Drosophila melanogaster: one gene and its partners. The protein of the gene in region 1 purifies or fractionates together with the protein of each later gene. This does not show direct contact. Each region holds a gene or a part of one and is shown in the gene's direction. Other genes may lie near its edges.

The links.
Region 2: the proteins of Ubi-p5E (region 1) and Graf purify together in Drosophila melanogaster (affinity purification with western blotting, with the first as the bait; one study listed by BioGRID). This does not show direct contact.
Region 3: the proteins of Ubi-p5E (region 1) and rngo purify together in Drosophila melanogaster (affinity purification with western blotting, with the first as the bait; one study listed by BioGRID). This does not show direct contact.

What each region holds. Positions count from the first base shown.
Region 1 is NC_004354.4:6,275,673-6,283,064, reverse strand, and holds Ubi-p5E (Ubiquitin-5E), read left to right. Parts: upstream 1-3,417; 5' UTR 3,418-3,929; intron 3,930-4,311; 5' UTR 4,312-4,316; coding exon 4,317-5,921; 3' UTR 5,922-6,189; downstream 6,190-7,392. Other genes in the region: CG11700 (uncharacterized protein), read left to right, coding at 1-787; CG3566 (uncharacterized protein), read left to right, coding at 6,426-6,533, 6,607-6,695, 6,769-6,837.
Region 2 is NC_004354.4:15,755,724-15,762,631, reverse strand, and holds the start of Graf (GTPase regulator associated with FAK), read left to right. Parts: upstream 1-1,982; 5' UTR 1,983-2,392; intron 2,393-2,437; exon of another isoform or gene 2,438-2,507; intron 2,508-4,314; 5' UTR 4,315-4,598; coding exon 4,599-4,776; intron 4,777-4,864; coding exon of another isoform or gene 4,865-5,323; intron 5,324-5,406; coding exon of another isoform or gene 5,407-6,238; exon of another isoform or gene 6,239-6,314; intron 6,315-6,395; coding exon 6,396-6,553; intron 6,554-6,639; coding exon 6,640-6,813; intron 6,814-6,908. Other genes in the region: mRpL3 (mitochondrial ribosomal protein L3), read right to left, coding at 37-457, 511-1,034, 1,096-1,201, 1,261-1,298; CG8260 (uncharacterized protein), read right to left, coding at 4,865-5,323, 5,407-6,195. UniProt on the Drosophila melanogaster protein: GTPase-activating protein for Rho family proteins. Essential component of the CLIC (clathrin-independent carrier)/GEEC (GPI-anchored protein-enriched early endocytic compartment) endocytic pathway.
Region 3 is NC_004354.4:16,438,577-16,446,677, forward strand, and holds rngo (rings lost), read left to right. Parts: upstream 1-2,976; 5' UTR 2,977-3,206; coding exon 3,207-3,444; intron 3,445-4,916; coding exon 4,917-5,400; intron 5,401-5,464; coding exon 5,465-5,750; intron 5,751-5,813; coding exon 5,814-6,182; 3' UTR 6,183-6,791; downstream 6,792-8,101. Other genes in the region: Cdc50 (cell division cycle 50), read right to left, coding at 665-710, 1,021-1,186, 1,251-1,586, 1,641-1,836, 2,081-2,349, 2,566-2,626; eIF2alpha (eukaryotic translation initiation factor 2 subunit alpha), read right to left, coding at 6,979-7,309, 7,609-8,101.

The sequences.
Region 1 (7,392 bases):
TCAGCGTTTGATCTTCGGCGGAAAGCACCTGGAGAACGGACGCACTCTGTCCGACTACAACATCCAGAAGGAGTCGACCATTTACTTGGTCCTGCGTCTGCGGGGTGGCATGCAAATCTTCGTGAAGACCCTCACTGGCAAGACCATCACCTTGGAGGTCGAGCCATCCGATACCATCGAAAACGTCAAAGCCAAGATACAGGACAAGGAGGAAAACCCCCCAGAGCATCAGCGTTTGATCTTCGGCGGAAAGCACCTGGAGAACGGACGCACTCTGTCCGACTACAACATCCAGAAGGAGTCGACCATTTACTTGGTCCTGCGTCTGCGTGGTGGCATGCAGATCTTTGTGAAGACCCTCACTGGCAAGACCATCACCTTGGAGGTCGAGCCATCCGATAGCATTGAAAACGTTAAGGCCAGGATCCACGACAAGGAGGGAATCCCCCCAGATCAACAGCGTTTGATCTTCGCCGGAAAGCAGTTGGAGGACGGACGCACTCTGTCCGATTACAACATCCAGAAGGAATCGACCCTTCACTTGGTCCTGCGTCTGCGTGGTGGCATGCAGATCTTTGTGAAGACCCTCACTGGCAAGACCATCACCTTGGAGGTTGAGCCATCCGATACCATCAAACACGTCAAAGCCAGGATCCACGACAAGGATGGAATCCCCCCAGATCATCAGCGTTTGATTTTCGCCGGAAAGCAGCTGGAGGACGGACGTACTCTGTCCGACTACAACATCCAGAAGGAGTCGACCCTTCACAGTCACTTTAAGTGGTAGAGAGCGAAAACAAATTAACCCACCGTGAGGGAGAGAGCAGGCGGCGAATTTCCAGTCAACTTATACCTATACCTATAAATACCAGCGCGCTGCTGTAAAACGAATCGTAAGCTGTGAAAAAGTCGTAGAGAGCGGACGTCCGAGCAAGTGAAGAAAGCAAGTTTTTGAATATTTCAAAAAGTGCAGACCAAATGTAAAGAAATAAATTAGCTTTTCTGTGCGAAACAGGAAAAAAATTCCGGTTAGTTTGGCAAGTGTTTCATAGTTTTTTTTAGTTGCTTTTAAAATGCCGAAGCAACAAGTGCAGTAAGCGAAAAAGGGTGCATTCCATGCATCTGTGTGTTTTTTTTATATACGGCAGGAAAATGAAATTCAAAGATACCGTCCACCGTCCGTAGATGGCATGCACGATTCATAACTCTCAGCTAGAGAATTATGCCTACGTACTAAACAAAAATCTCTGATCTCTCTCCTGTCCTTGTCAAGCTCACCGGCACTGCCAGTCAAAGTATTTTATCGGTGAGCAGGTCATGGTCAGATCCGACGAGCGATGCGGAGATCGTGATGGGGACTTTGTTCCCGCCCTTGAGGAGGCACGCTAATGAAGTCCATCGTCTTCTGGCTTGTGGCAGTCATAGAAGCTGTAGGGGCCAAAGTCTCCACATCTACAGCTGCACTGCAGTCGCTAGTTTTCGGCTGCTTGCTCACCCCTCGCTCCGTGAATTGGAGTTCGGACTCCTCTTGTAGGGGATCTCGATAGGCTGTAGCTCCTCCTGAACGGGTCGTTGGGATCGGGCACTGCCTCCCCTGTTCTGTCCATCTGATCTAATGGGCGGACTACGGCTTGTTGGTCACCAACGTTAGAAAGGGATCCATTGTGGGCCACGGATTTCTCCCTGGCGTTTTACCGGTGGAGGTTTATGCCGCCTCTAATCGGACACCAGAGCCTTTGCTTAGGCATCAGAACGGCGAGAGGATGATTAGTTGTCTGTCCGCGACCTTTAAGCCTTTTCCCTTTCTAAGAGGTTGTTCCGCTCCGAAAGAATCAAAACATGTTTAAATTCTTAATTCAAATTTTAATTTTAATTCAAATTAATTAATCCAAATTCGAATTTGAGCATGAACACACTTGTCGTGTGTGTGTGTGTGTGTGTGTATGCCCAGTTCCAGGGGATTTTATTATTATTTTTTTTTGACTAAGTTAGAGATTAGTCACCAAACCTAAATTTACTGTAAATTAACGAAAAAACCAATAATGTTTGTTTTCTGTATGTGTATGCTAAAATACTCTTCTGGGTCGCGGGAATTGGGTCACTACGCAGAAAATCAATTTCCTTCCACTTTCCATTACTCAGCCAACTTTTTTCCTTTTCCATTTCTCCACTCGCAGCCAATATGCAAATTTTCTTTAAGACTCTGACCGGCAAGACCATCACTTTGGAGGTTGGACCATCCGATACCATTGGGAACGTCAAGGCCAAGATCCTAGACAAGGAGGGAATCCCCCCAGATCACCACGTTCACCATGCGAACGGAGGTGGAGCGCATGCTGACGTTGATTGCCCAGGGATCGGCTAACTTTCAGGATGTTTTGCGACACGCCATCAAGATCTTCAAGCTGAAGTTTATGTACTTTGTGAAGAACATCGACAGCATGGACGCACTGTTTCAGGTATCCTTCTCGCCGCTGGCCGAGTCGGGCATTGCACTGCTCTACCGGCAAGATTGCACTGCTCTCATTGCGATGAGACATACGCCCTGCCCATTGGAATGTGAAGGTGTATCGCGAGTTCAAGTGCCCGCTGGATGATCTGCTGGCTTTCTCCACTGGCGTGAAGGGGCGTTCGTATCCGTTCTGCCCGTACTGTTACAACCATCCGCCGTTCAGCGACATGCCCCACTTGGGGGGCTGCAACACCTGCACGAACGCCAACTGCCCGCACTCGCTGAACACGCTGGGCATCTCCAGCTGCGTGGAATTCCATAATTGTAAAACATTTCTTATATTTGGATCCATAAATACATTAATTTATTTCTTAATATAAAGCAAACTTAATGAAATCTCGTGTAACTTGGAACTATTTTATAGTAAGAAGCTACCAATTCCAAAAAAAACTTCACTTTTTTGGAAGGAAAAACTTTATTTTGTTTTTTTTTTTTTGTCATATCATGGGGAATACATGTACACTGGATTGTTAGTATGAGAAATTCATGACAATTATTTGAATAATTGTATATATTATCCTATATCTTTAGTTTGTACTTAAAGAGTTAATAACGTTTACTATTTTAAGGGGTTACATCAAGGGTTAAGCTGCTGAAATCAGCATACATCAGATTTCATCAGACCCTTCCATTCCTGGAACTTTCCAGATGCAATTGTAATGCATATGTACATATGGAAATAGCATTGTACGCATACTGGCTTATGTGCGAGTGGGTTGGTGGGAAATTTTAAATTGTTGGGCTCTCTTGTCTAAAGGCTGATGACCAAAGCGAAGACAAATCTCCCAGGCGGCGTCAAAACAAAAAAAGGTCGATTAACTCGCCAAACAAAGAACGTCACAAGAAGATGTCTGTGCGTCTACATGCATACATATGTATGTATATACAAATTTATACACCTCCCTCTGTTAGAATACACACACAAACGCATACACTTCAACAGCTGAGATTAGTGTTGGAAAGAGGGTCAGGCAACTTATCGATAACTCCGCTCTCTCGCTCACGAGAGCGAGCGAGATAAAAGCAGTGCACATATGCACTACGCATTTTGTTTTCAATGCCCAATTTTGCGTATTGCAGCTAGCCAATTGATTGGCCTTCATGTGTTAAATACTCTTGTCAATGCGAAATCTCATTTCCAATAGACTAGACAAAAGAAACGGTCACTTTAAGTGGCAGAGAGCGAAAACAAAGTAACCTACCGCCCGAGAGTGAGCGAGAGAGCAGGCGACGACTTTCCAGTCAGCTGCCTATAAATACCAGCGTGGGGCTGCGAAACGAATCATAAACTGTGAAAAAGTCGTAGAGAGCGGACGTCCGAGCAAGTAAAATAAAAGCAAGTTTTTGAATATTTCAAAAAGTGCAGACCAACAGTAAAGAAATAAATTAACTTTTGTGTGCGAAACAAGAAAATAAGGTGAGTTCAGTTTGGCAATTGCTTAATAGTTTTTCTTAGTTGCATTCAAAATGGCGATGCAGCAAGCAGAAAACGGTGCTTTCCATGCTTCTATCTATGTGTGTGTGTGTGTGTGTGTGTGTGTGTGTGTGTGTGTATGCCCAGTTCCAGGGGATTTTTTTTAACGAAGTTAGAGATTAGTCACCAAAACTAAATTTGCCATTTCATGGCGAAATAATGCAAGCTGTGAAAACATTAACGAAAAAACCAATAATGTTTTCTGTATGTGTATGCTAAAATACTTTTCTGGGTCACGGGAATTGGGTCACTACGCAGAAAATCAATTTCCTTCCACTTTCCATTACTCAAGCCAACTTTTTCCCTTTTTCATTTCTCCACTCAGGCAATATGCAAATTTTCGTTAAGACCCTCACTGGCAAGACCATCACTTTGGAGGTTGAGCCATCCGATACCATTGAGAACGTTAAGGCCAAGATCCAGGACAAGGAGGGAATCCCCCCAGATCAGCAGCGTTTGATCTTCGCCGGAAAGCAGCTGGAGGACGGACGCACTCTGTCCGACTACAACATCCAGAAGGAGTCGACCCTTCACTTGGTCCTGCGTCTGCGTGGTGGCATGCAGATCTTTGTGAAGACCCTCACTGGCAAGACCATCACTTTGGAGGTCGAGCCATCCGATACCATTGAGAACGTTAAGGCAAAGATCCAGGACAAGGAGGGAATCCCCCCAGATCAGCAGCGTTTGATCTTCGCCGGAAAGCAGCTGGAGGACGGACGCACTCTGTCCGACTACAACATCCAGAAGGAGTCGACCCTTCACTTGGTCCTGCGTCTGCGTGGTGGCATGCAGATCTTTGTTAAGACCCTCACTGGCAAGACCATCACCTTGGAGGTCGAGCCATCCGATACCATTGAGAACGTTAAGGCCAAGATCCAGGACAAGGAGGGAATCCCCCCAGATCAGCAGCGTTTGATTTTCGCCGGAAAGCAGCTGGAGGACGGACGCACTCTGTCCGACTACAACATCCAGAAGGAGTCGACCCTTCACTTGGTCTTGCGTCTGCGTGGTGGCATGCAGATCTTCGTTAAGACCCTCACTGGCAAGACCATCACCTTGGAGGTCGAGCCATCCGATACCATTGAGAACGTTAAGGCCAAGATCCAGGACAAGGAGGGAATCCCCCCAGATCAGCAGCGTTTGATTTTCGCCGGAAAGCAGCTGGAGGACGGACGCACTTTGTCCGACTACAACATCCAGAAGGAGTCGACCCTTCACTTGGTCTTGCGTCTGCGTGGTGGCATGCAGATCTTCGTTAAGACCCTCACTGGCAAGACCATCACCTTGGAGGTCGAGCCATCCGATACCATTGAGAACGTTAAGGCCAAGATCCAGGACAAGGAGGGAATCCCCCCAGATCAGCAGCGTTTGATTTTCGCCGGAAAGCAGCTGGAGGACGGACGTACTCTGTCCGACTACAACATCCAGAAGGAGTCGACTCTTCACTTGGTCCTGCGTCTGCGTGGTGGCATGCAGATCTTCGTTAAGACCCTCACTGGCAAGACCATCACTTTGGAGGTCGAGCCATCCGATACCATTGAGAACGTTAAGGCCAAGATCCAGGACAAGGAGGGAATCCCCCCAGATCAGCAGCGTTTGATTTTCGCCGGAAAGCAGCTGGAGGACGGACGCACTCTGTCCGACTACAACATCCAGAAGGAGTCGACCCTTCACTTGGTCTTGCGTCTGCGTGGTGGCATGCAGATCTTCGTTAAGACCCTCACTGGCAAGACCATCACCTTGGAGGTCGAGCCATCCGATACCATTGAGAACGTTAAGGCCAAGATCCAGGACAAGGAGGGAATCCCCCCAGATCAGCAGCGTTTGATTTTCGCCGGAAAGCAGCTCGAGGACGGACGCACTCTGTCCGACTACAACATCCAGAAGGAGTCGACCCTTCACTTGGTCCTGCGTCTGCGTGGTGGCGCCATCTAGATTTTTTCACCCTTATAAAAATTGAAGTTAGTTAGTTGTGCCACAGGGCATAACTCAAGAATTCATACTAAGTTTTAGTAAATTGGTTTATTCAAAGGCACAAAATAATCAATCACAATAATTATTGGTATTCGAAGAATAAAATTTTCAATTTGTGTGTTCAATGTAATACTCTATGTAGTTTTTATCTGTGTTTCCCAGGGTTTTTAATTTTGTGGGGGATTCTTGATAGAAAGTTGCAATAAACATTGGATGGCGTTGGAGTGGTGGATTTAATTTGAATATTTAAATTTGTAATACTCTATTGTATTTTACTGGAATTGTACCACAGGTACATTGGAATTATTGCTTAGGTACCTTATGTGGTATATTTGGGGTATTTTGTGTGACCAGCTGACTCCAACGAAAAGTGGAGCCGGCCACACTGGAATAGTCCGAAAACCTGTTAGCTTGCGTTATTTAGTTAAATTTGCGGAGAAGAGCAGGCAGGCGCAGTCAGGCAAGATGAGCAAGGAAATCCGTTTGGCCACCGTCAACGAACACAACAAAGCCACGGATCTGTGGGTGGTCATCGACAACAAGGTCTACGATGTGACCAAGTTCCGTCTCGAGGCAAGTGGCGATGCAGATTGTTGGTTTTAGGGGGGGGTGGCGAATCCATCTAATTCGATGCCCTTATCTCCAGCATCCCGGTGGCGAGGAATCCCTGGTGGATGAGGCCGGTCGCGATGCCACCAAGGCCTTCAATGACGTGGGTCACAGCTCGGAGGCGAGGTTAGAGAGTCCATCTTATAGCCAGTGCGCCTGGATCACCTGATTCACATTTCTTCCCCACTTGCCTTTTCAGAGAGATGTTGAAGAAATACTACATTGGTGACCTGGCTGCTGCGGACATCAAGAAGAAAAGCCCAATTAGGTGAGAATCCTGTCCAGCAAGTGCATGCAAAGACCCAACCAAGCCAAAATGCCATATCATCATGTAAATAAAGAAAGCCCTGCGGATTTCCCTTCTCCGCTCCCACACGGATTGATCTCCTTATCTCGCTAGAACACCAGTATTCCTGATAAGGCATTTCATCATCATCATTTCGTACGCTCCACTTTCCTTAATGCATGAAGCTCCTATTCCGACCACAACCGGTTTCGCATGAGCATGGCCTGCGTTTCAATCAATAAGTACAATTAGCCAACTCTTATGTAATCCATTAATTGCCTCGAAGCCCCCAAAGTTTCACGCTTCACGTGTCCTGAAAGTCTCTATTTCGTACACTTTTTGGTGTACTACTTTGATACCCTTTGATACGATTGGATACCCTGAAGAAGATAATGATGATACAGAAGTGTTCCTTAAATTATATCAATTATTTATATTCCCATATAGAGTATCAACTTTTTCTTTACCAACCGCTAACAAAGCCACAATACTTAATATTTAATGAATCTAATGAATCTCAACTTGCATGTATGATAT
Region 2 (6,908 bases), 9.5 Mb from region 1:
AACAATTAGGTTTCTATAATACCTTAAGCACTAAAGTTATTCGTTTTCATACGTTATTGACTCGCTTTTGAAGTTGTGCACCTGTTCGTACCACACATCATCCCCATCTTGCTGCGGCTCGCCGTAAAACGTTGGGAACGGTGGGGCTTCCTTATTCTTTCGCGTTGGCAAGATGGTATCGTATATGTAGACCAGACCGCCGGTGGGGCCGGCCACCGAGCTCCCTTGCACCCACATAACATTATATTTGGTGTTAATGCGCCACACGCGCAGACCCTTGATGATGCGCCACCGGTTTCCCATGTGTCCCGGCATCTTTGTGCCTGGCCAGACGCGACCCTTCTCGCCACCACCGCCAATGTTGCCGGCACGTCGATGAGTTTTCGTCACACCGTGCGATGCTGGCATGCCCTTAAATCCGTGTCGCTTGACAACACCTTGGAAGCCATGGTCAACTCTGCAAAATATAAGTAGAGTACGTATAACCAGCGCTTAGACGTATGTACTTACGTTTTGCCGCGAACATCGACGAAGTCACCAACGCGAAAGTGGTTGACATTTAGTGGAGTGCCTGGCGCCAGTTGGGCTTCTGGAGAGACGATGAATCGGGCCAGGTTCTTCTTGGGGAGCACACCCGAGTTGCGGAATATGCCCGCGTACTCTTTGGTCAACAGAGCTGGGTTCGTGGTCTCGGAGCCAACGAGAATGCAGCCGCGCTTGTGCAGGTTGGCTACCGTGGGAACTTGGGCAGGTAAATACTCTTCCGGGGGAATGTATTTAATGACATGATTGTCGACGATTTGCAGCAGCGTGGTGCGAATCCGCTCGCCATTCTTTAGCCACAGCGGGTACTGGCCAATTTTGCGCGCTATAACGCCGCATCTTCGCAAATTCGGAGTCCACACAGCCTCATTGGCGGTTGGGCCCGCGGTCTTGACCAAACTATCCTTAATAACTGCCGGAACGCCAAAGTTATTGGTGCCCACTTCGTTGACGAACTGCTTGTTCTCCGCCGTCATCAAATCGTTGTATTTCTGTTGCAATAAAACGCAAATGAGTAGTTTGTTTATAGATAAAAAGATATATGTCACATACTGTAATTTCCTTGCGCAGAAACCATTGGGGATTCCGCAGTCGAGGTCTGCTCAAATGGCCCTTATCGCGCACCTGCGTAACCAAAACACTGCTATTTCCACTGAGCCTGAATGGAGAAACCAGAATTTACTAAATGGCCACTATAGCAACGATAAGTGTACCCACCGGAGACCCAGTAATTGATTAATAACGCTCCGCATCATACTTATATAATATAATTTAACAAAGCATAAAAGCGAGCCGGTGCAGAATAACCAAAAGAGCTGTCAAAACATCGGCCACAGTATCGATATCAGCGATATTTGGGGCACGGCTGCTTGACCATCGATTATTTCTGGTCAATTTCGATTCCACATGCTCTTATAATTGGAGTAGTGGAAACATGATGTGATTATTATCGCAACTATGTAAATCAGAAATTGTAGTTTTTAATAAATTTGTAACATTTGTAATACATTTTGGTAATGAATTCACCCCTCTCTATGTAACGACGCGCAATGTTGTTCATTGACAAAATAGATGATTCACAATTCGTGCTAAGCTATGCATGCTGCAAACTTTAGACGCTTAATAAACATTTGATATCTATCAAAGAAGTTTTAGCGCTTTCATTTTGTTTCCCAATCATTTCTGTCAATTAAAGTTAGAGAATGGGAGAGAGTAATGCGTTGAAATGCGAACAAGTAAGTAACAGGTGGTTGTTGGAACGCATGAGAAGTAGATGGCACGGCAAAAGCTTATGGACACTCCTGCAAATGTTAGTGTCGCGGTGGAGACAGGGTATTTGATGCGCTTAACAGCACAGTTAATATACTTAACAGCACGTTCAGATAACTTGTGTATTTTTATCAGACCTACATTAATTTTTTTTTCTAATCGGAGATTTAACAGTCAAAGTAATATATATATATTGTGGTGCATTTAGAATACAATGAAACGAAATATGCAATTGATGCTGAATAATATCGCGTAATTGATGCGAAACGCGCGACACGACACGGCCAATTTGCGTTCTTCGATCAGAGCAACATTAGATATTGGGAAATTACTCATACACTAATGTTTACTCTGTGAGTAATTTTAACACGGGCACAAATGTGTGTGCGGTTGCGGTACGCGAAAAACTACCGACGGTTGCCTTTCGTAACTAAGAGCATTTATTTTTGTATAAGTGAATTCCAATGGGCTAAAGTCATATGAAAAGCGTCTAAACATGAGCCCCTCGACGATTCGTTTATAAGGATTTGATTTATTTATTTATTTGTGATTCCATTGCATTGCGTATGTATGTGTGCTGGTGTGTATCTACGTATATGTATGCTGATATATATATATTATTTAGTTTTTTAAACAACTACATGCATGCGAAATAAACAAAGGATTTGGTGCTGCAGTTGAATTTCATCCCAGGGGTATGTCCGATATCGAAATTATGGTGTTAGTGGCCTCGCAACCTGTTTTAAGATCGAATGTTTACATATGTACATCGAAATTTAACAAGTTTATGCAAAAAAAAAGAGGAAACGATAAAAACTCTCGCCCACCCCTCCCTTCAACACATTCTTATGCACATAGTGTTGTAAAGTGCGCATATGAGTTATTTATCAGTAAGCGAACATAAACTAAAGTTATTTTTAAATAACAAATGTACACAACATACAAATACAGGCGGTGCACATCTGTATGTATGCAAGTATGCAAGTATGCCTGTACATACCTAGCTTCATGCAACAATTTTAAGCGGGCTTAACTGTAAAAAAAAACCGATAAGATAATTTAAAACGGAATGTTTAACTGTTTTTTAAGCCCCAAAAATCCACCATAAGTTCGTATTCAACAGGTATTAAGGTATATCTAGCGAAAATACATAGCAACAGCTGTGTTTTTACTCGTTGCGCATTCCATCAGTGGAAACTCGCCAACAAAATTTCCCATGATCTTGAATTGCACTATCTGAACTCGGCTTTAAATAAATACATATATATTGCATTATTTCAATGCCTAACATTTTCATATATATAACTATCTCTTAGGCTTATAAAGTTATCAAGGATTTTTAAAGTTGTTGTAGTCAAAGAAAGTGAAAACAGGTGATTAACTGGTTATCAGTAATCAATGGTCCTATGAGCCGGATAAAAGTACTTTGCGAATTTGAATGGAAAGACTATTATTGCGTAAAGGGGATATGTTTTGTGAATTGTTTTAGTTAGGGTGTATATACATTTATCTGCGTCATTGTTTCCTTGATAACTTGGGCCTGGAATCCACTAAAATTTGTTTAAAATATATATTGATTAGGCGATTATTTCTGAGAATTCTCCGTGCCTGCGCCTATCTATCTTAAGATCTGATAAGAAAAACATATACAACAATGACAATGTAGTAAACAGGCGTCTGTAAGCAACTTTATGATTTAAATACACCCATAAATAAATGGCATTCAAAGTGTATTTTCCAAGTGGCTGACTTTCGCAATTTTTATTGAACATGATTTTCAATTGCAAAGTCGGTTTTGCATTTATGTAATGGCGACGACTTATCAGCCTGTGGCTGGTTTCACTGTAATAGGAAAGTGTTCGCAAGTGTATTTAAACTTGTTTTTGGTAAACGCTTGTACATATGTATATGTTTGCAAAAGATAAGAAATTTACTAGAGTGTGGGTCTTGCTCGGTACACAGACGATAAGAAATTAACAATAGTCCGTTCTTGATGAAAGTTAGTCGTTGACTGCCCACTTTTTATCGTGGCACTGTGTTTCAATTTATCTTTTTATATAATCTCATCAGTTTGCTTTTCGGATCTGCTCTTATTTTCGGAATTTCACAGTTTAAAGTTTATCGAATGTGGGGAACCGACCTTAAATCAAAATCACAATTGCCAGAGCTCTGCGCGATCAAAACGAATAAATATAATACATAATGGACTTCACTTGCTAATTATTGGTCAATTTAGGCTATAAATTCATATTCCGGTGATTGCGATGTACTCAAAATATCGTTTTTAAACCACACAAAGCAATGGGTTCTCTAAAAGAGAGAATGCAAGTTCTTTAATACAGAGTTGATAAGAATCGAGTGAATCATGTTTCTTCATGCTAGAACAAAATATTTTCTCAAAGTAACTTAGCGTATTCTTGGCCGCTCAGCCGCAATGCAAGTTTTGCGCAATTAACTCTACTTGTTGTTTAAAAAGATATCTTATATCAGTTGTCTTTGCAGGAAGGATTACCAATATGCATAATCCACCAACTGATAAACAGTATTTGCATTGAATAGTAAATATATAAAAGGAGCGCAATTCCAGCTGTAAATGTTGCAAACACCGCAGTTTTCTCGAAACTCAACCGACAAATCTACACAATATATCACAATATATCAGTCACTGCGAATGCACTTAGCTCTGTGGAAAGCAACATCGAAAGAACCTAAATAAAACTGAAACTTAAACTGAAAATCACAGCAAATATTCAAATTCAATATTATTAAAAGCAAACGCAAACATCATGGGCGGCGGCAAAAATGTACGCCGCGGCTTGGAGCCTCTGGAGTTCGAAGAATGCATCGTCGACAGTCCGGACTTTCGCGAAAATTTAAATCGACATGAAAAGGAACTGGACCACACTAGTCATCAAATAAAACGAATTATCAAAGAGGTCAAAGATCTTATGAGTGCGGCAAAGAGTAAGTAGTACAATCCATTTACCGGAGGGCGTAAAACGTGTGTCTGTTTATTAAAGTATACAAAAAATGATTTATAAATAATGCCTATTCACATATGCTTCCACATATCTTCTTGTCCTTCTGATTCCCGATCCCTGGTATGCTTGAAACACGTATTGAATTCGGGTCCAATCGACAGGCGTTTTAGGTACTCTTGATATTCGTTTAGCGTTATGAAACGCATATTTGGACACAGCTGTGTCACCTTCCGATGGTAGTCACAGGTATGATCCTGTACCCAATGGCGTGGCTCCATTAGCTCCACCTCCGTGAACTCCACATGCGTATCGAGTACACTCGGATTGTTGCGCACGGTTAAGAGCAAACTGCTGTTAAACACCGAGTCCCGCAGAAGTGTGATGACATCGGGCGACTTGCTAAACTCCTTTAGAATGTCACTAAATTCGGGCATCTTATGGAGTTCCTCACTCCTGAACTTCTTTAGCATGAGGGGCGGCAGGAAGCTGAAGCGAATTTGACTTAAAACCCTATAGGTGCTCGAACGTCGCTGCGGCCAAAGATGCGCTAGCCACATTAAGGCGGAATATAAAAGCTGTGTATTCATATATCATGGTTATACTTCTACTATACTATAGATATAGAACTTGCCTCCATTTCCGAATTGATTGCCAGAAAGTTGGACTTGAGTATGTAGCAAATTTGTGTTTCGCTGAGGCACAGGAATTCCCGAGTCGATGCGACTGGCAAAATTGAAATGGAAATGCGCCCAGTCAGCTTATCGAATACATCCCACAAGTTGGTGGCGCCTCGTAATTCGAACAATAGGCGAAACGCAGAGATCTCAAAGAATGTTATCCTATCCAGGTTCGCCCAACAGGCCTCGAGCAGCTCGGGAATGTCCAGGAAGTATGCGGCCCTCAAAATTTCGCCCATATCGCACGGATTAACCTCGCCATCACTGGAAATCATCCATAGATATGCGTCGCTGAATCCTTTCGGGCTCAAATCATTCGACTTAAAGACAATATGGTCAACATCTTCCTGCAATATTTTCAGCATTCGCCTTGAGTAAATACTTAGTATGATATTGTGGCAAAGGAAGACGCGATCGTGAACAGTGACTATTATATCCGCACACTCGTAGTTCTGGATGTAAGGCACCAGGTATTCCTCTGGCGGCACTTCGTGGTCTATTTCGACAATCTCGGACTCCGTTGGATCTTCCTTCAGTGTTCGTATACTATTTGCAAAGTTCAGAAATGTCTGTTCCAAGTAGCAAAGCCTTTCGCGTGTCCTAACATTGATGAAATGGACATATGGACATTGGGAATTTATTAGCTTACTTAGGTTGCAAAGGTTCGGGGTCAGGAACAGGATCAGGATCAGGATCAGGATCAGGATCAGGATCAGCATCAGCATCAGGGTTTCTTTTACTCGCCAAAAAGGGCCTCGTTTTATACATGTTTTTTTTTTTTCGTATATCTGTGCTGTATTTATGTGGTGGGAAGTGAGGCAAAGACGTCTAGTTCTAATGAGATTTATGTTATGTTTGATGTTTTCCCTTTTGCTTTCATATTTATTTCAATGGTTTGTCAAATTGCATTTAAATACTTTTTCAGTCCTGTCCACTCGAATGAAACAATTGGCCATTTTACTTAACGATTTTAACTTTGAGTGCATTGGCACTGCTCAGACCGACGATGAGAATGTCATTTGTGAAAGTCTCAAGCGATTTGGTGCTATAATTGGCAATATTGAAGATGAGCGCGAAAAAATGGTAAGTTGGCTTGTCTGATCGGGTCATATAATATTGGTTTCCAAATTAGTGAGAATCTGAACAATCTATTAACAATTACCAACTAGCTAACGCTCGCCGATAAACATATTATTGAGTCACTGGAGGATTTTCGAAAAAAGCAAATCGGTGGCGTCAAAGAAAACAAAAAGAAATTTGATAAAAAGACGGAGAAATTTTGTCAATCGCAGGAGCGTTTCCTCAATATGTCAACTAAAAAGCCCGAAAACACAATACAGGAGGTAAGTTATTTCAAAATTTTTATTTTTTGCAATTGCCATCGAAAAGCTATTGTTTAAACTCAGAACTTGTTGTGCAATGTAAAAATAATAAAATA
Region 3 (8,101 bases), about 10 Mb from region 1:
ACTGATAACCACATGGATTACGAATCAAATTCCTTCATAATGTCATCCAATTTTATTCGCTTAACATTGGTTAAATACATGAATTCGATTGTACTTTTCTTTTGTGATGAAAATAACAGACATCTTAACGACTATTTAGAAAAGCTTCAACAGAATCCTAAACTTATTAATTACGATCCCATATTAGCAAGGAATATAGCTTAATTTCAAATTGGCCCCATTTACTTGCCAATAAAACAAGAGAGCTATGCCATTAACAATGTTTATTTGCGCGTATAAACGTAGTAAAAGGCAATGCAGATTAAGTCAGGCACAAAGTATTACTTTGCTGTTTCTAAAGCAATGGTGGAAATTCGTGTGGATGTTGCAAAGGGTATCCACTGTTTGTTGTGTGTGATGTGCGGTGGAATAGGTTATAGAAAAAATCACAAATTGGGTGCACACATATAGGATCAAGGACGAACAGAACATCAACAAAAGGCACTTGGACAGCTGCTCATCGCGTGGCCAAGTGCACACAGTTAGAAAACATAAAAAATAGAAGAGCAGTCGAGAACACGTTAATGGAAATGGGTTAATAGAAACTATTTTATGCTGATAAGGCTTAAAGAAATGGATCTACTAAAGCTAAGTGAAGCGGCCCGGAATACTGACGGTGCTCGGTCTAGGAGTACTGCGTGTGCGGGTTCACGTTGATCATCTCCATGTTGCTGTTGGGTAAACAGAAATAAAACCATGATTAGTTCAAGAGCCCTTAGTATAGGAGGTGTCAATCATTTTGGCCAGTGCCCGATTAGGTAAAACGCTACTATCAAACGCTACTTAATTGTCAATACTTATCGCGCACCGAGCAAAACGCTAATTTGGCCATGAGAAACGATTCGGCTTCAATGGGGAATGAAATACTCGACTCTTAGCAGACTTAATGAACTATAATGCTGTGGGAGTGGGGGATAAGGGCAGGATGAATGACGATCGGTACAATGAGGATGAATCAACGATGTGCGATGATCAACTCACCTGCGACTGCATCGCATATGAATAAATAGCAGGGCCAGGCCCAGGGTGATGCAAATGGCACCCACCACAATGTACGCAATGCCCAGGAACGGGTTCTTGCCACCGAGCACGGATGTGGTGGAGAGTATCATTCGCTTCGTGCCGTCGAACGACACCACCGGATAATCTGAAGGGCAAAACACAAATACATTAGATACAGCATTCGCGATATCCCAGCCATTCGTACTTACTATACTTAATGTTAAGCGTATAATTGCCAGACTTCAGGCCGTTGGCATAGTTGGTGTTCGTTTGGTTGAGACGGCGATATAGCTTCCGGAAGCTGGGCAGAGCGGCGGTGCGCATCCACACGATCAGATCCTCGTTCTGGAAGCCATTGTTGTCCGGATTCTCCGGGTCCAGGTCGGCCAGACCCTTCTGCCAGAAAATTGGCTTTGAGAAGCCCTCAAGGGAGACGTTCAGGTTACCCTCTGGGTTTCGGAACTTGACGCGCTTGTCCGACGGCCAGGCAATGCCCGTCTTCAGCAGCTTGATCTCGGATCCACCCTGCAAGAGGGTCAGCGTGTCTGGAAGATATCAATGTTAGTTGCGGTACAGTCAAGGTAGTTTCTGTGCCGCACCATTGAACAGCGAGTTGGCAATGGCACCGCAGGGCGCGATGGGCTTTCCGGAATCGGGATCATAGGCGAAGGGGGCACAGTCTGTACTGGGCGTTTGCGACAGGTGACCCAGCAGCTGCTCGTCGTCCCGTGACTTCACATAGCGCCGATGGTTCTGATAGTAGTTGGTCAGTCCGTAGTACATGTATACCACACCCTTTAAAAAAGGAAGTTAACGAAATACTTAAATGAGAATCTCTTTCTAAAGTATTATAAGGAATCCAAATCCACTATCAATATCATCAATATCTTTTCCAAACCTGCTAAAAGCAATGTTGATAAATGCCTTGCAGATTATAAAAGCAGCATATAGCTTTTCATTTGAACTACTTCACTACCTAAACTAAGAGCTGATTAATTGAGCTGGACAGCTACTGAAGCTCTGGATCCCTATAACTCACATTGAAGTCCGAGGGCAGGACGAAGGGCACCTCGCAGGGGCACGTAACGCCGGGGTTGGCCTCCAGATACTCCGCACAGGTGGTATTTCCGCCCGAGCGCCTGCACTTGGTGTAGTCGATGATCAGCTCGTTGGCGGTGTTGCTCAGGTGGAGCAGGACCACGCCGATGGGTATGAATAGAACTCCGATAACGAAGAAGGTGGGCAGTACGGTGCGGGCGGTCAGGACGGGCTGCCAGGCGGGCAGGCGCTGTTGCTTGAAGGCCGAATCTGTGGGTGGACAACATGGGAAACGGGCAAACGTGAGCGACTTGGCATGACCTCATGGTTAATGCAGGGACACCAGGATGGGCCCCGAAAATCGATTTGCCATTGGATATTAGTCATTCCCCTCCTTATCACTTGTTACGCAGACAAGTGTGTGTGAGTGTGTTATTGGGGGATTGGGATTTGGATGGGGCGACTCGCATGAAACTGGGTTTTCACCTGAAGGTCGCTTGGACTTCGCCGCTGCACTCTCCTCATTCTCCGCTTGCTGTGTGGACATGGTGGCTTATCTGGTTTCTCGCTATGCTCCTCGAAAAGCTCCTTGGTGTCCAAACGCTGCAAGTGACTCCAATTGAATAAAGTAAATACAATAAAATTTCGATGACAGCACATGAGTCATCGATATGTATCGATACCTGCAGTGATGGTATATATCGATGAAATTTTATCTATATTTAGCTTTTGCTCCATTTGGCTTACCTTTGAGAAATATGTTAAACTAAGGTAAGAGGAAAATCATTTGTCTCTCCAAATTCGTCGTAATACCTCCAAATGAGCAATGCTCTAGCCATCCCATTCAACTATCGATAGTCAGACCGCGAATAGTATCGATAAGGCGTCGCATGCAACCGCGTGGAGGCGGCGTTTTCGTTGTTGTGTCAAAACAATAAGCGAGCAGCAGAATATCAGCACACCCATCCAGCTAGCAAAGATAAAGGCGAAAAGGCTAGACCAGCAGAGATTGTGATTCACTTTGCCACCCACCAGTGCAGTACATACCCGCGCTCGCTAACATTCGATCCACCTAAACCACGGTAACACAGAAACGCCAACACACATACACACAGTACGCAGCGGCAATGAAAATCACAGTGACGACCAGCGATGACAAGGTCTTCTGCTTGGACGTGGCCCAGGATCTTGAGCTGGAGAATCTCAAGGCCCTCTGCGCGATGGAGATCGGTGCGGAAGTGTCCCAAATAGCGGTAATTTTCAACGGGCGGGAGCTTTCCAGCGACAAACAGACGCTGCAACAGTGCGGAGTCGGCGACGGCGACTTCATCATGCTGGAACGACGCAGGAGCGCCAATCGCCCAGGTGAGAGAGAGAGAGAGTTGAAATTCGGCGTTGGAATGGAAACGAGATGGGAAAGTGGAAAGAGCGGGGTGAAGAGAGGGGGAGCCATTATCCTTATGTGGGTCACGTTTTTCCCCGTGGAGGGGGGGGGATCTTGAGTGTGTTTTGGAGGATGGTGAAGGGGGTTCATTGGTCAGATAACGCGAATTCGCACAATAATAAAATTAATTATTGTCCTACATGATCCATAACACGTTTATATTCAAATGTCGCTTAAAAAATACTTCAGCAACATAATATTTAGGAAAAACCGGGAAACCCCGAATACGTAGTGCGAACATTTCATTTAACAATACTTTTGCAATGTGAAATTTGAACTGTGCTCATTTTTTTTTTAATTTGTTGGCGTTATTAGTTGCTAGATTTTTATGGAAAAGCGCAGCGAGCACAGCTCATCTTTTTGCGGCGCAATTGGTGTTAAAAATAAACGCCTTGCTTCGTCTGACTTTCTTTTCGCAAATTCCAAAAAAACAGCGGCACACAGACACGGGAAAGAACACTGGAAGTGTGTGCTGTTTCCACTGCAGCAGAGAGGGGGGTTCGGGTTCGGTGAGGAATGGGCATACCAATGAAAGTGGAGGAGCAGCAGCAGGTGCGTTGCCTTTGCCTCAGTCTCAGCCCCATGGATCCACCCACTTGGGCCGCCCACTGTGGCCGGACCACTGTTTTGTTGACCCCTGAATGCGCATTTGGCCTTGTCAGCTTGTCCATTGAAATGGGATCGTGTATATATAATTGTTTTGCTATATACATATGTACATATGTATGAATGGTATTTCTGCACACATGTGCACACATTTTGGCGACTGCAGACAGGTGTGGGCGGTGAACAATTTTCGATTTCATTTGACCATTGCACAGCACTTTGGACTCCATGACTCGCACGCGAGCAAGCTCATTTGGCAGCCAGAAAATGAGTTCAACTACATATCACTTATCTACAGATATGTACATATTATCTAGTTAACACAACTGCACTTGCATTGGTTTATCTCGCTAGTCTGATGTTTTTAATTCGATTATAGATCACAGATTAATTAAGTTCCATTCAAATTGGATGACGGTGATTTAATCTATCTCGACAAACGTTTATACATATGCACATATGTATATAAATGTTTGTTGTATGGTAATTAGCATGAGTTATACGCAATCATTTATTTCACAATCTGCAAGCCAGATTATATTTGGGCAAAATTTGTTGAGGTTTTTAGGTATTGCTTGCTCTTTCTTTCTCAAAATTTGTTCCATTTTACGCGTAAATATGTTGATAATTTTCTCGATTTGTAGCAGATAACTGCACTGACCACAAATTGTCTTTTAAACTATATTCAATGTAATCGATTCGAATATTGACAAATGTAATCCTGTAAAGAAACGCAATAGAAAACTACCTCAATCGATTAATCTTTCGTCTCATTCAAAAATTTCAGTTGGCGGAAATCCAGCGATCAGCACGCTCGACTTCAGCAACATCGCCGTGCCGGGCACTAGTTCAGGCGGCAGTCCACCGTCAAGGCGGGTGCAGCAGCAGGGAGTGCAGCAGCCGCAGTTCAACAACCTCACGGACATACCCACGACCGATGAGTTCAATGTGAACTTCGACGACGACCCAGAGACGGTGCGACAGATGTTTCTGTCCAGTCCCGAGACTCTGTCGCTCCTCCGGCAGTACAATCCCAGCCTGGCGGAAGCCATCGATTCCGGCGACAAGGAAAAGTTCGCTCGGCTGCTTCGCGAGCATATTACGGAGCGAAAGCGTCGTAACGAGCACCGCATGCGCATGCTAAACGCCGATCCCTTCGATGAGGAGACTCAACGTCTGATTGCCGAAGAGATCAAGCAGAAGAATATCCAGGATAACATGGCGGCTGCCATTGAATACAATCCAGAGATCTTTGGCACGGTTACAATGCTGTAAGTAATGGTAAAAATAATTAATATGATTGGATTGGCTCATTGCAATATTGCATATTATTAGCTATATCAACTGCAAAGTGAATGGCATTCCTGTGAAGGCCTTTGTGGACTCTGGCGCCCAGACGACGATCATGAGCAAAGACTGCGCCGAGAGATGCCATGTCAACCGTCTGATTGACACACGCTGGAATGGTGTGGCCAAGGGCGTTGGCACACAGCCCATTCTGGGCAGGATACACATGGTCCAGTTGCAGATTGAGAACGATCACCTAACGTCCAGTTTCACCGTGCTGGGCCAGCAACCCATGGACATGTTGCTGGGTCTGGACATGCTGAAGCGACATCAGGTAATGAAATCTAGATAGCATCAGATTACGTCGCCTAAATGCTAATTGAATTGGTTTTTCCAGTGCCTGATTGACTTGCAGCGTAATTTGTTGATTATTGGCACCACGGGAACAACGACACCCTTTCTGCCGGAAAGTGAGCTGCCGGTCAGCGCCCGGCTGACAGGAAACTCGGAGGATTCGATGGAACAGGAGGCGATTTCCAATGCAATCGAGCAAAGCAAACGGGAGAGCGGTGGCGCCGGTGGCGGGCCCAACACGATCAGTCCTCAAGAACGATTCACCGAACAGGATGTCACCGATCTCATGGCCCTTGGCTATCCTCGCAGCGATGTGCTTACCGTGCTGCGCCTGTGCGGCGGTAACAAGCAGGCGGCCAGGTCCGTGCTGCTCCACCGCAACGATGCCGCCTCGGGGAGCGAACTCAGCTGAACGCGGCTAGACGCACAGCCCACACCACCACCTAAAGCCGAACTCCCCATAGCCAGAAACCGGATTGCAATAGGATGATGAACAGACTGGACCCCATTAACTGGAAGCCGTTCCAACGAAATACTCCGAGCAATACCAAATAATAAGCCACGCCACGCCACATATAAAGTCAAATAGGAAATAGTAAGGACTATACACAACCACAAAGCAATGAATACCGAAACGAAAACCTTTCTAATTTAGTGAAATGTTTATAAACTGATGTCACTTTTTTTATACGAATCGTTTGTTACGATGTACAATATCTAATTAGGGTGCTACGCAGCACTACCGGGTCATTTTTAAAGCAGAGGTGGGTTGGTTTTTTCTAGAGAGAATAGTAAGCGATATAATCTAAAATTTAATGAATGAAAATCTGGACGGTGATGGAAACAAGCCGCATCAACGAAAACATGAAACAAGTAAATACAAAAGAAAAACGAAAGAATGCCTGACTATTAAATAATATTACACTTATACACAATTTGAATTAGTATTAAGGGTCTGTCAAGAAAAACTGAATTGGGTTCAATAATAAATGGTCGATAGTATTGTTTTGGATTTGAAAAGAAAAAGATGAGCAAGCGCATTTTGATTTGTCTTCTTGGGCATCTCGCTGTTTTCACTTTTATAAATCTTTAATAGCATTCGTTATATGTTATGTATATAAATTATAAAATTACAACTTCTGATTTTTGCAAAACTCCTTTAATTGTTTGTTACAGTTGCTATAGTTGTGTCTGATGCTGTGGCTACGCTAATCCTCTTCCTCCTCCTCATCCTCCTCGTTCGCACGACCCGCCCCCGATCCCTTGTGGTTGAACTCCTTCTCTGGATCGAACTGCATGCCCTCCTGGTCGGCGCCATCCTCCTCGTCATCGTCGCCAGCCACCTGGGCGTTCTCGGCCTCAGCGCGCTCCAGGCGTCTGGCCAGATCCGCCTCGTCGATGGCCGTAACCAGTTTGGGTGCCATGATCACCTTGAACTCTCCATCGTACTCGCTGGTCTTGGCGCGAATGTGCTCAATGGCCACCTCCAGAGCCTTTAAACCGTCTGTCTTCTTGGTAGTGGATGTGGTCATTACATAGCTAAAAGGATACGGATGAAGAGCGATTACGTTTAGGAACCAATTAACTCATTTAAGCAACATTTTTAGTTATTTCGATTTCACAAGAAGTTGTAAAATTAAATTGAATATAAGTTTTTCTCTTAACCAAGTGGTCATTTACAATATATACAAGATGAAAGGGATTTCCTTATTATTTAACGATAAATTTCGGCTAAAATGAAGAACAGAAATCTACAATTTTCGTATTCTTTTAATTAAAGAAACCCTCGTTAATTTCGTCTACACCAAGGGAAATTACAATAGTTTACAGGTACTTACAGTGGCGGTGCTATCAGGTTGATGCGAATGGGCAGCTCCTCGGTGCTCAGCTCCAGGCCCTTGGTGAGCGATGCCTTGACAGCGTCGATGCCCTCGTAACCGTAGCAGGAGCACTCGATGTCCGCACGGATCTTGACAGTGGGCGAGACCAGCTTCCGCTTGATGTTGCTCAACAGGACCTCCTTGGTCTCCGGTTCCAGGTTGCACTCATCGAAGACGGTGGGATCGGTGACCGATTGCTTGAAGATGTCGTAGGCGACCGTCTTGTTGTTGTACTTCTTCTCGAAGTGCCAGGCGGTCTTCTGGTAGAGATCTTCCAGCTTCTCGTTGCCCTCGAAGCCGAGTATGTCGGCGACATGGCGGAGCAGTGAGTTGATGGCCTTGGCCTTAGCGAAGCGCTCGGTGCACTTCTCGACATCTTCGGGCGAAACGCGACGCTTCGACAGATCGATGTAGCCCTTCTCCTTGTCAACACGGATAACCACCACCGGTT